Coturnix japonica: one gene and its partner. The protein of the gene in region 1 interacts with the protein of each later gene in a pairwise test. Links are inferred from orthologs where the notes say so. Each region holds a gene or a part of one and is shown in the gene's direction. Other genes may lie near its edges. The genes, in order: RPP30 and RPP14.

Region 1 (4,377 bases):
ATCTGTTTAAGTACTCTCCATTTTAAGTGCCTCGAGAAAAGGTTTGTTTTGCTTGTCTGTTGCCTAAAAAAAAAAAAAAGCTGCTTAATCTTGTTTAATGTCTCTGAACATTAGTCCAAAAGAGATGTTCAGAAATAATTGATACATATTTATGGATTTCTTCTCACATTTATTCAGACAAATTAAATCAAGTTCCATCATACACTGTCAAAAAAACCAAACAAACAAAGAAAACAAAAAAAACACTTGAAATAATGCTTTGAGTTCTCCCATGTCCACACACTTCACAGAAAAGCCTTAAGAAGACCATTTGATTTGGGCTGTGTGTTCAGATATTTGGCAGAGAAGCAGCACTGGCTATTCCAATAGGAAACATGTTAAGGGCACAGATAGGCCAAAGCAGAATTTGCTGAAACATAGGAAACGTAGGAGGAAGGAACATCTTCCAGGGAGACCTGGATAGGCTTGAAAAATGGACCCACAAAAACCTAGTGAGGTTCAGCACAGCCAAATTCAAGGTGTTGTATTTGAGCTGGGGCAACCCCAGACATTCAGACTGGGAGAAAAACTCACTGAGAGCAGCCCTGCTGAGGAAGACTTGGAGACTTGATGGACAAAAAGTTGGATATGAGCCAGCAGTGTGCACTTGCAGCCCATAGAGCAACTGTATTCTGGGCTGCATCAACAGAGGGGTGGCAGCATGAAGAGGGAGGTGACTGTTTCACTCTGTACTGTCCTTGTGAGCCCCCACCTGGAGCACAGTGTCCAAGCCTGGGGCTCCCAGCACAGGAGTGATATGGAGCTGTTGTGATGGGTCACAAGGATGGCCACGAAGGTGCTCAGAGAGCTGGAGTACTTCCCTGGAGATAGGTTTGTTCAATCTGGGGAAGGCACCAGGGAGATCTCGTTGCAGCCTTTCTGTGTTTAAAGGGAGCTTATAAACTCTTCGGCCTCAGTGTGCCAAGGAGCAGTGCTGTGGGCAGGGACGTGCCTGGGAGCTGTGGGCATTGCTGGAGCAATTCTGCCTGGTTAAGGGTTTAGCATTCCAAATAACCCACTGAACCTCCAGGCTCAAGGAAGTGGAAGCAGAGGGCTTGTGAGGCCTCCCAATACCACCTTGATGATGTGAAGAAATCACAGCCTTGCTTGTTTTAGCAGCTGCTGTAACTGTCCCAAACAGCAACAAAAGTGGTCATTACCACCTGTATTTCACATATGTGCTGATTAGCAGCAATAAAATGGGTGGGTTTTTCAACAGTGCTACAGAGTCAAAGCATGTTTGATTTGTGGTCTCCTGGAATTGTTCATCTCTTTTGCATTTTAGGGAATATCTCTAGAGAAGCTGGGACTAATCAACCTAGGATTTTATTTCACATTTTTTAGTTAACGCAGGAAAACGATGGCCTTAACTAGGAACGGTTCCACCCCCCCTCGGGCCATACAGTAGCTGCGCTCGGTGGGAGGCGATCCGGCCGCTAAGAGGAGCAGAAGCGCATCTCCCCCTGCTGGGCAGCGCACACACCCCGAGCTCCCGACTGCTCCGCTCGCAGCACAGCCCCCCACGGACACGTTCAGGAGCGCATAAAAGCTCGCACGCTCCATCACCCAGAGCTCCGCCTGCTGGTCCAGAGCCCATCCCGCTCCTCGTAGCAGGACTACCAGCCCCAGGTTGCTCCGGGCCGCCGGGGGCGGTGCCGGCTGCGCTCACAGCCTTCGTTCCGCCCCGTGCTGCGCAGCATGGCCGGCTTCGCCGATCTGAACGTCCCGCAGGGCGCGGATAGGAAGGCCGTGCAGAGCGTGCTGGAGGCTGCGGCGAACCGTGAGTCGGGGCTGGGAGCGGGTGGATGTGTTGTTGAGGATGGGGTGGCTGTGCTGGAAGGCGGCGCTGGCTGAGGGCTGCAGCAGCGGCGTGAAGGATGGAGAAGCGGGGCTGGACGGGGCGGAAGCTCCATGCGCCGGTCCTGCCCTGCCCAGCGAGGGCACGGGGTCTGTGCTGTGCCTGAACAGCGCTGTTATTATCTCCGGTTACTCTCCAACCTCTGCAGAGAACTTGTTCCAGGGTTACTGATCTTCAGCACAGGCTTTATGGCTTTCTCTAGTCCTGTCCACCACGGCAGTCTTTCTGTTTGTATCACCCTTCAATCGTGGTCACATCTCCCCTCATAATGCATCTTCCAGTCCGCTGCTGCAAGGCGCAGCCTTCGTGTCGATGCAGAGCCGGGACCTGGCAGCCTGTGGCTTACCCCACTACCCCAGGCTCACAGCCACACCTCAGCCTGCCCTGCTGTACCCATTAGGTAACCGTGCATCTCTGTGCGTACCCCAGCACTGGCCGTGCACAGTCCCTTGTCCTTGTTACTGTCAGTCAGTGAGGATGTGTTGTAAAGGCTGGCTTGTGCTAAAAGAAAAAATTGTACTCTTAAGACACATCTTTGAGTTAACATTGAGCAAAATTCACTGTGAAAGGTAAATGTGCACATCGTTATTGATTTTGAGATATTTAAATAATGAGCATGTGACAGTTTTCTCCTTGTGTCTGTTTCCATTACTTGCTGATCAAAGCAGGCTCACAATGTGTTTTCTTTTTTAGTGGGATATTCTGCAGTTGCTCTTAATCACGTCATCGATTTTAAAGAAAAGAAACAGGTAATTTCAGTTCAGCTTCTTTGTTGGTGATGTGTTTGCTCTCGTAAATCTCTGTGCCACTCCTCTATCCTTTGTTTTTACGCACTCACCTAAATGAAGGCATTTGTATTTATATTTATAACAGAACTCTGATTTTATAAGCCTGTATTACTGCCCTGGAGTTAATTTTTACTATGGTCTGTGAATTGTCCTTAGGAAATATTTTGTTAGTATGTTAAGCTTATTTTTGGAGTTGGAACACAACTTCTGTGTACATTCTAAACATCCCTGTTGTATTTTGGATAACTTTGTTTTGTTTTCTTTTAAGGAAATAGCCAAGCCGGTGTCTCCATCAGAGCTGTTTCCATCTTTGCCTATTGTGCAGGTGTGTTTATTACGTTCCATCTATGTGTTGTTACACTGAGCTGCAATTTTTCCTTTCAGTTTATCCACTCCTCAGAGAAACACAGTGAGCCCTTCTTTCTGAAGGGCAGTTACAATATATATGTTTTATATTAGGGAAGCATAACTACAGACTTCCAGAAAATTATTATAGGCAAGAATTGGTGCAAGGCACAACTTTCTTTTTATAGTAGGCAGGGTGAAGGTTGCCACAAAGTTTGTCAGCTTTTAAAATCTTATATTATTTTTCCATCATAGGGGACATCTAAAAGACTTAAAGTCTTAACCCGGCTGACACTTGTTGTTTCTGATCCTTCCCACTGTAATCTCTTGGTAAGTACATTCAGTGTATCTGCTTGTTTGTTTGTTTGTTTTAATTTAATTTTCTCAACGAAAGAATGACACTTTGGGAGTTGTGTATTGGATTTAATGGATTTCATAGGATACTCAGTACTGATTTCTCAGACCAGATCTTTAGAATCTGAAGCATCATGACCCCTCACGCAAGTGTCTGTGAAACAGAACGTGATTGTGCTGATCGCTTATTAGTATGGGGTAGCAGTTCTGTTCCTTTATTCTTTTATTTGAATTCTGGACTTCCATGTGTACACTAGAATACCAGGAGGGAGACCAGTGTGTGTTTGTGGAGCTGTGTGCTTGAGACAAAAGGTATGTGAGTGGATGGGACAAGCCTCAAAATGACCTCAGAGAATTGCTCACAGTAGAGACCTACTATTTAATTAGATTATCGTCTTTGTTTTGGTGCTTGAAAATGGTGAGGAAATTTTCTCATTATTATTTTGGTTATAATCATTGTGTGTATGCTTGTCACCTGCCAGAAGTCAAGGTAGTAATTATTTCCTCCTTTTGTAGAGATCTACATCTGCAAATATAAGATTGTATGACATCATAGCTGTATTTCCAAAGACGGAGAAATTGTTCCATGTAAGTACTATCTGTGAGTTGTCATAGAGCTGGCACTAACCATCAGTGTCTTGGAGTGCTTTGAGTGCATGCTTTGTTTTGTTTTCCATTCTATATAGCCATGTCATGGGGCTAATTAAACAATGTAGGTTCTCTGGTCAGCAGCAGGCAGACTAAAAGATTGGGAGAAATCCTAGAAGGGTAAAGGGCCTTGATGTGATCAGTTGGTCCTAAACGTCTGCAAGTGGTCTGACTGACTTGCTTTCAAATGCTCAGCTCAACTTCTTGTCAAAATGCTTTCATTGCAAAATGGGGGGAGAAAAAGTGGCACATCTGACCATCTCAGGAAGCTCCTGAGTCGTATCATTAAGAGTGAATTGGAAGAGTTGGTAGAGGTGATCTGTCTGTATTGCCCTTGGCAGACAG
Region 2 (4,234 bases), on another chromosome or scaffold:
TCTTCTAAAAAAGACAAACAAAACAATGTGCAGTTTTGCACAGAGGGCAAAAAAAAAAAGAAATCCCTTTGAATGTCACTTCCAGTCTTTCTTTTCCATTGGCTGAAATGGACTCTCGTTCTTGATGTGTATTTGTAAACCGGTCTTGCCAAAATACAAACACTTTGTGTTTCTTTTCACTCCAGATAATTTCTGTTGTTACAGTTATTGCTGATCATTTCACTTCCTTCCAACCAGAGGTTTTCTTTCAAGATGCCTTCCTTGTGGATTTTCTCCTGATGTCTGCAGCACTATCCTGCTGTTCCAAGGTGGAAGAGAAAGTCACTAACCTCATCAGAGAACACTCGACTCCGCTAAGCTGGCTGGAGCTAATAATGCGTTACTAATTTTCCTCCGCTTTGTGGGGCAGGAGGGGAATTAAATTCTGCATAAAGTTGCTACCTCAAGGCTCCAAGTGCTTTGAAAGTCTTTCACTTGGGAGAATTTCATAAGACAGTTCTTACAATTGGTCTGTTCTTTTGAGTTCAAGATGTTTTTAATCGATTCGAGGGACCCTTATTCATTTTACACTTAGTATTTGATTCTCAAAGGGTGAACAGCTGCAACGTTTGATTCTTGCAGTACAGTGTTAACGTGGGAAAAAAAAAGAAGTTTCTGCCATATAAACGTATGGTTTTAAAAAGTTAAACCACTCTGGGGTTCGGCTTCACTTTTGGTTAATAAACTGACATGTTGTGTCCAGCCTTCCTGGTACGGTCTGTGTGTGCTCCTTATTGTCTGCTGCAGCTGATGTGCATCACAGTGGCTTTTACAGCAGCTAAACACGTTTCCTTGGGGTGTCCGAGCTCCTTCTGTTATCAGGGCTCGTGGAGAACAGCCCTCACCCTATTGCAGTAACCAATATGGGTTTGGATGTGACCTGACCACCACGTTTCGCTCTCCAGTCATTACATTTTGCTGTTATCTTTGAAAACGAATAGAAATTGCTGTAGATGTTATTGCTCCAAATAAAAGTGGCAGCTCAGGCGTGTGTGCCAGATAACTGGAGGAGGATTATTTGGGCTCTGTGCTGTTTCTCTGCTCTAGGAGAGGAGCACAGGATTCCTTGAGTTCTCTTGCTGCTGCATTCTGTGTGGCAAGCTGCTCTTTTTAAGCTCACTAATAATTTGATGAGACCTTTGGTACATGTTGAATGTTGGAAAACATTATTTCACATCTGCTTGTGCTGAAGCTTCGTTTAAAGCATTTGGTATTTTACGAACAGCTTTTAAGTTAGGTTGGAAGTGGCTCGGGGAAGGTGTCCATGAGGTGTCCTGCAGACTGCATGGGAGACCGGAGCATTGCCATGGTTGGAGATGAGCTCTGCTGAATGTTTACAGGGGAGGCCTTGCTGTTGCTGTTTTCTTACGGACACCTTTAAAGCACTGAAGGCTTCAGCTGATAGAAGTGTGTTGTATCGGCGTCAGCAGAAGGTGAGAGCGGGCTGCAGCAAGGAGCCCTGCCTGCCCTTCGCAACCTGACACAGCTGTGCTGTCAGTGGATGTTTGCTCCCAAGGGGACAAAATCCAAAGGTCAGATACGGAAAGCTGCCCAGAGTTCCTCTGCACGGGGTGGTTGAGGAGATGGGAACCGCCTTCCTGTGACCCACGCTGCGCCGCCAGCCCCGCCCCGCCATGTCCCCGCGGTGCCGCCGTAGTTGGGGGCGGGCCGCGCCGTCCCGCCGGGCGCATGGAGCGAACGGAGCCGCCCGTTGCCGCCTACGAGCGGCGTGTGCTGCGGAGCGCGGCTCAGCACTGCTACCTGCGGGTCCGCCTGTGTGTGAGCCCCCGCTCCCCGCCCCGCCCCTCGCCGCCCCCCGGTTCTGATCGCCGCTCTGTTTCCCCGCAGGGAGCTGCCCGACGGCGCGGCCCGGCCCGGAGCCCCGCAGCTGAAGCAGCTGGTGGTGACGGCGCTGCGGGAGCTGCACGGAGAGGTACGGGGAGAGCAGGGCGGTGCGCGGTGCCCGGCTGCACGTAACCGTGTCTGTGTCTGTAGGTTGGAGCCGCTTTGCCTGTCGACGTGTTGGCCTACGAGGAGAAAACACTGTGTGCCATCCTGAGAGTGATTAGCAGGTGAGGCGTGTGGAAGCGTGGTTGGGCCCCAGCCATCTCCTGACAATGCGATGAAATATAAAGTCCGTAAGGTTTGGTCACCACGTGCTGTAGGACAGGAGGGTCCGGAAGGAGCAAAGCCCTGCTGGAAGGTGTAAAATCAGGTTTAAATGTTGGAGATAGATGCAGGTGCTGTGGGGGAAATGGTGCTTAAAGGCACAGTAAGAATGTAAGAACAGGGCCAGTAATGTAACATGGTCACAGTGAGCATCTGCTGTATGTTAGGGACAAGGCTGCAGCCCTTACAACAACCCTTCATGACACACAGCTGTTACCAGAACTCACTGGTGACATTACAGGTTATCAAACTCCGCTTCGTTGCTCTTTGCGTAACGTGTTTTAAAAACGTTTTTGCTGCAGGAAGAGAAAGAAAAAGCAATAAATTAACGTCTTTTGTCTTATTTTCACTCAGTGGCCTGGTCAAGCTGTGGAGTGCTCTGACCCTGCAGGGCTTCTACCAGAACAGGCGCTGTGCCTTCCGGGTGCTGCAGGTAGGTGGGGGCCTCCCCTGCTGTCACTGCTGGGCTGCCTGTTTGTCTGGCACATTTCTTCCCATTTTCTCCCTTTCTAACAGTCAGTGATGGCCTCATGTAAAAACACCTGCAGAAATGTGCACCTCCAGAGCTCTGTGCTTTCCTTTCCCCCCTGAGGATTCTGCTTTAATAAGTTGTCTTCCGTGAATTCTTTGTGCCTGAAGCCGTGGCTACACAAATATCTGCTTAGTCACAGCTCTTATTTTAAAACCTACATAACGGGAGGATTAAATATTTTCACCTCTGGCTACATTTGATGATTTATTTATTTTTAATGCTTCTTGTTTTCTTGTTTTCTTCCCCCCAAACAAGATGTCTCCGTTTCTTCTGGCATTAGCTGGGGACAGCAGGGAGCTGCTCTTGGACTGAGTGCGGCTGCTTGGACTCTCACAAGTTCCTTGGAATGTTGCTTCTCTTCAGGCGTGTAATTCCTAGAGGGCATTTCCAACACAGACCTTCCACAAAGCCGGTGGTTACCAACCTGCCCTTTGCATGTCTACAGCTTCAGAATTTACACATAAAAGTGGGAGACAAAGCTGAACTCAGCCGAGTTTTTACACAGCACGATGTTGTTACTTTTTCTCATTTAACAGGTGACACAAACCCTTTGCATTTAAGTGAAGATTTTGCCAAGCAAACTAGATTTGGTAGAACCGTAGTACACGGGGTTTTGATCAATGGACTGATCTCTGCAGTTCTGGGTACCAAAATGCCTGGGCAGGGCTGTGTGTTTCTATCTCAGGACATTCGATTTCCAGCTCCTTTGTATACTGGAGAAGAAGTGACGGCTACAGCAGAAGTGAAACGACTGAGGAGCTCCATCGCACGCATTGCGGTATCGTGTCAAGTCAGACAAAGTGGGAAGACTGTTCTGGAAGGGATGGTGAACGTCATGGTGCCAGCAAGTCCCAGCTGTTGATCTTGTGTTATTTCGCAGTAAAGGCAGAAATGTATGTTTGGTTTTCATCTTTGTCACTTGCCATCTGTTAATGTGGACTAGTGGAAGTGCAGACACATAGTGCAGGACTGGCAGGTAATGTGCACTGCAGCTCTGGCCGGTGGTGCTGCAGTGTGCTGTGCTGCACTGCTGTAGCTCCTACATGTACAGAGTAGTCGGCCTTCATACGAGCAATACAAGCCTTGTTCGCACACAGCTCCCTGTGGGAGTCACTGACACACAGGGAGCCGGGCTGTCGGTTCCCAACTAGGCTCTCAGTTCTGCTGTAAGGAAATTTAACTAATATTTACAGGGGGAAAAAAAAATTGTGCAGATTTTAGGTAAGCGAGAGGAAGAGGCCGAATCTTCACTGAACTTTTCATGGCACTTTCACCACCCCAGAGCCAGAATAAGGCACGGAGCTGCCTACATGTGGTGTTAGGGCAGTGCAGGGCAGTGCGGCTGTATTTCAGCTCATGATGCGTTGATGAGGACGGCGCTTCTCCTCCGCTCCGTGTGAGGCCCCACGGGCTCGTGCCGCCCCTGCAGGCCGCGCTGCGTGAGGAGTCGGGGCGGCACGGCGCCCCCTGTTGGCCGGGCGGTCGCTGCGCGGG

What was found.
Region 2: the proteins of RPP30 (region 1) and RPP14 interact in binary tests that used the Homo sapiens proteins (3 or more experiments, as listed by UniProt). The link is inferred for Coturnix japonica from reciprocal best matches to the Homo sapiens genes RPP30 and RPP14.

What each region holds. Positions count from the first base shown.
Region 1 is NC_029521.1:17,047,460-17,051,836, forward strand, and holds the start of RPP30 (ribonuclease P protein subunit p30), read left to right. Parts: upstream 1-1,451; 5' UTR 1,452-1,737; coding exon 1,738-1,819; intron 1,820-2,590; coding exon 2,591-2,646; intron 2,647-2,953; coding exon 2,954-3,010; intron 3,011-3,285; coding exon 3,286-3,360; intron 3,361-3,900; coding exon 3,901-3,972; intron 3,973-4,377. UniProt on the Homo sapiens protein: Component of ribonuclease P, a ribonucleoprotein complex that generates mature tRNA molecules by cleaving their 5'-ends. Also a component of the MRP ribonuclease complex, which cleaves pre-rRNA sequences.
Region 2 is NC_029527.1:9,298,617-9,302,850, forward strand, and holds RPP14 (ribonuclease P protein subunit p14), read left to right. Parts: upstream 1-1,679; 5' UTR 1,680-1,728; coding exon 1,729-1,814; intron 1,815-1,887; coding exon 1,888-1,972; intron 1,973-2,034; coding exon 2,035-2,111; intron 2,112-2,562; coding exon 2,563-2,641; intron 2,642-2,995; coding exon 2,996-3,052; 3' UTR 3,053-3,086; coding exon of another isoform or gene 3,087-3,602; 3' UTR 3,603-3,649; downstream 3,650-4,234. Other genes in the region: HTD2 (hydroxyacyl-thioester dehydratase type 2, mitochondrial), read left to right, coding at 3,087-3,602. UniProt on the Homo sapiens protein: Component of ribonuclease P, a ribonucleoprotein complex that generates mature tRNA molecules by cleaving their 5'-ends.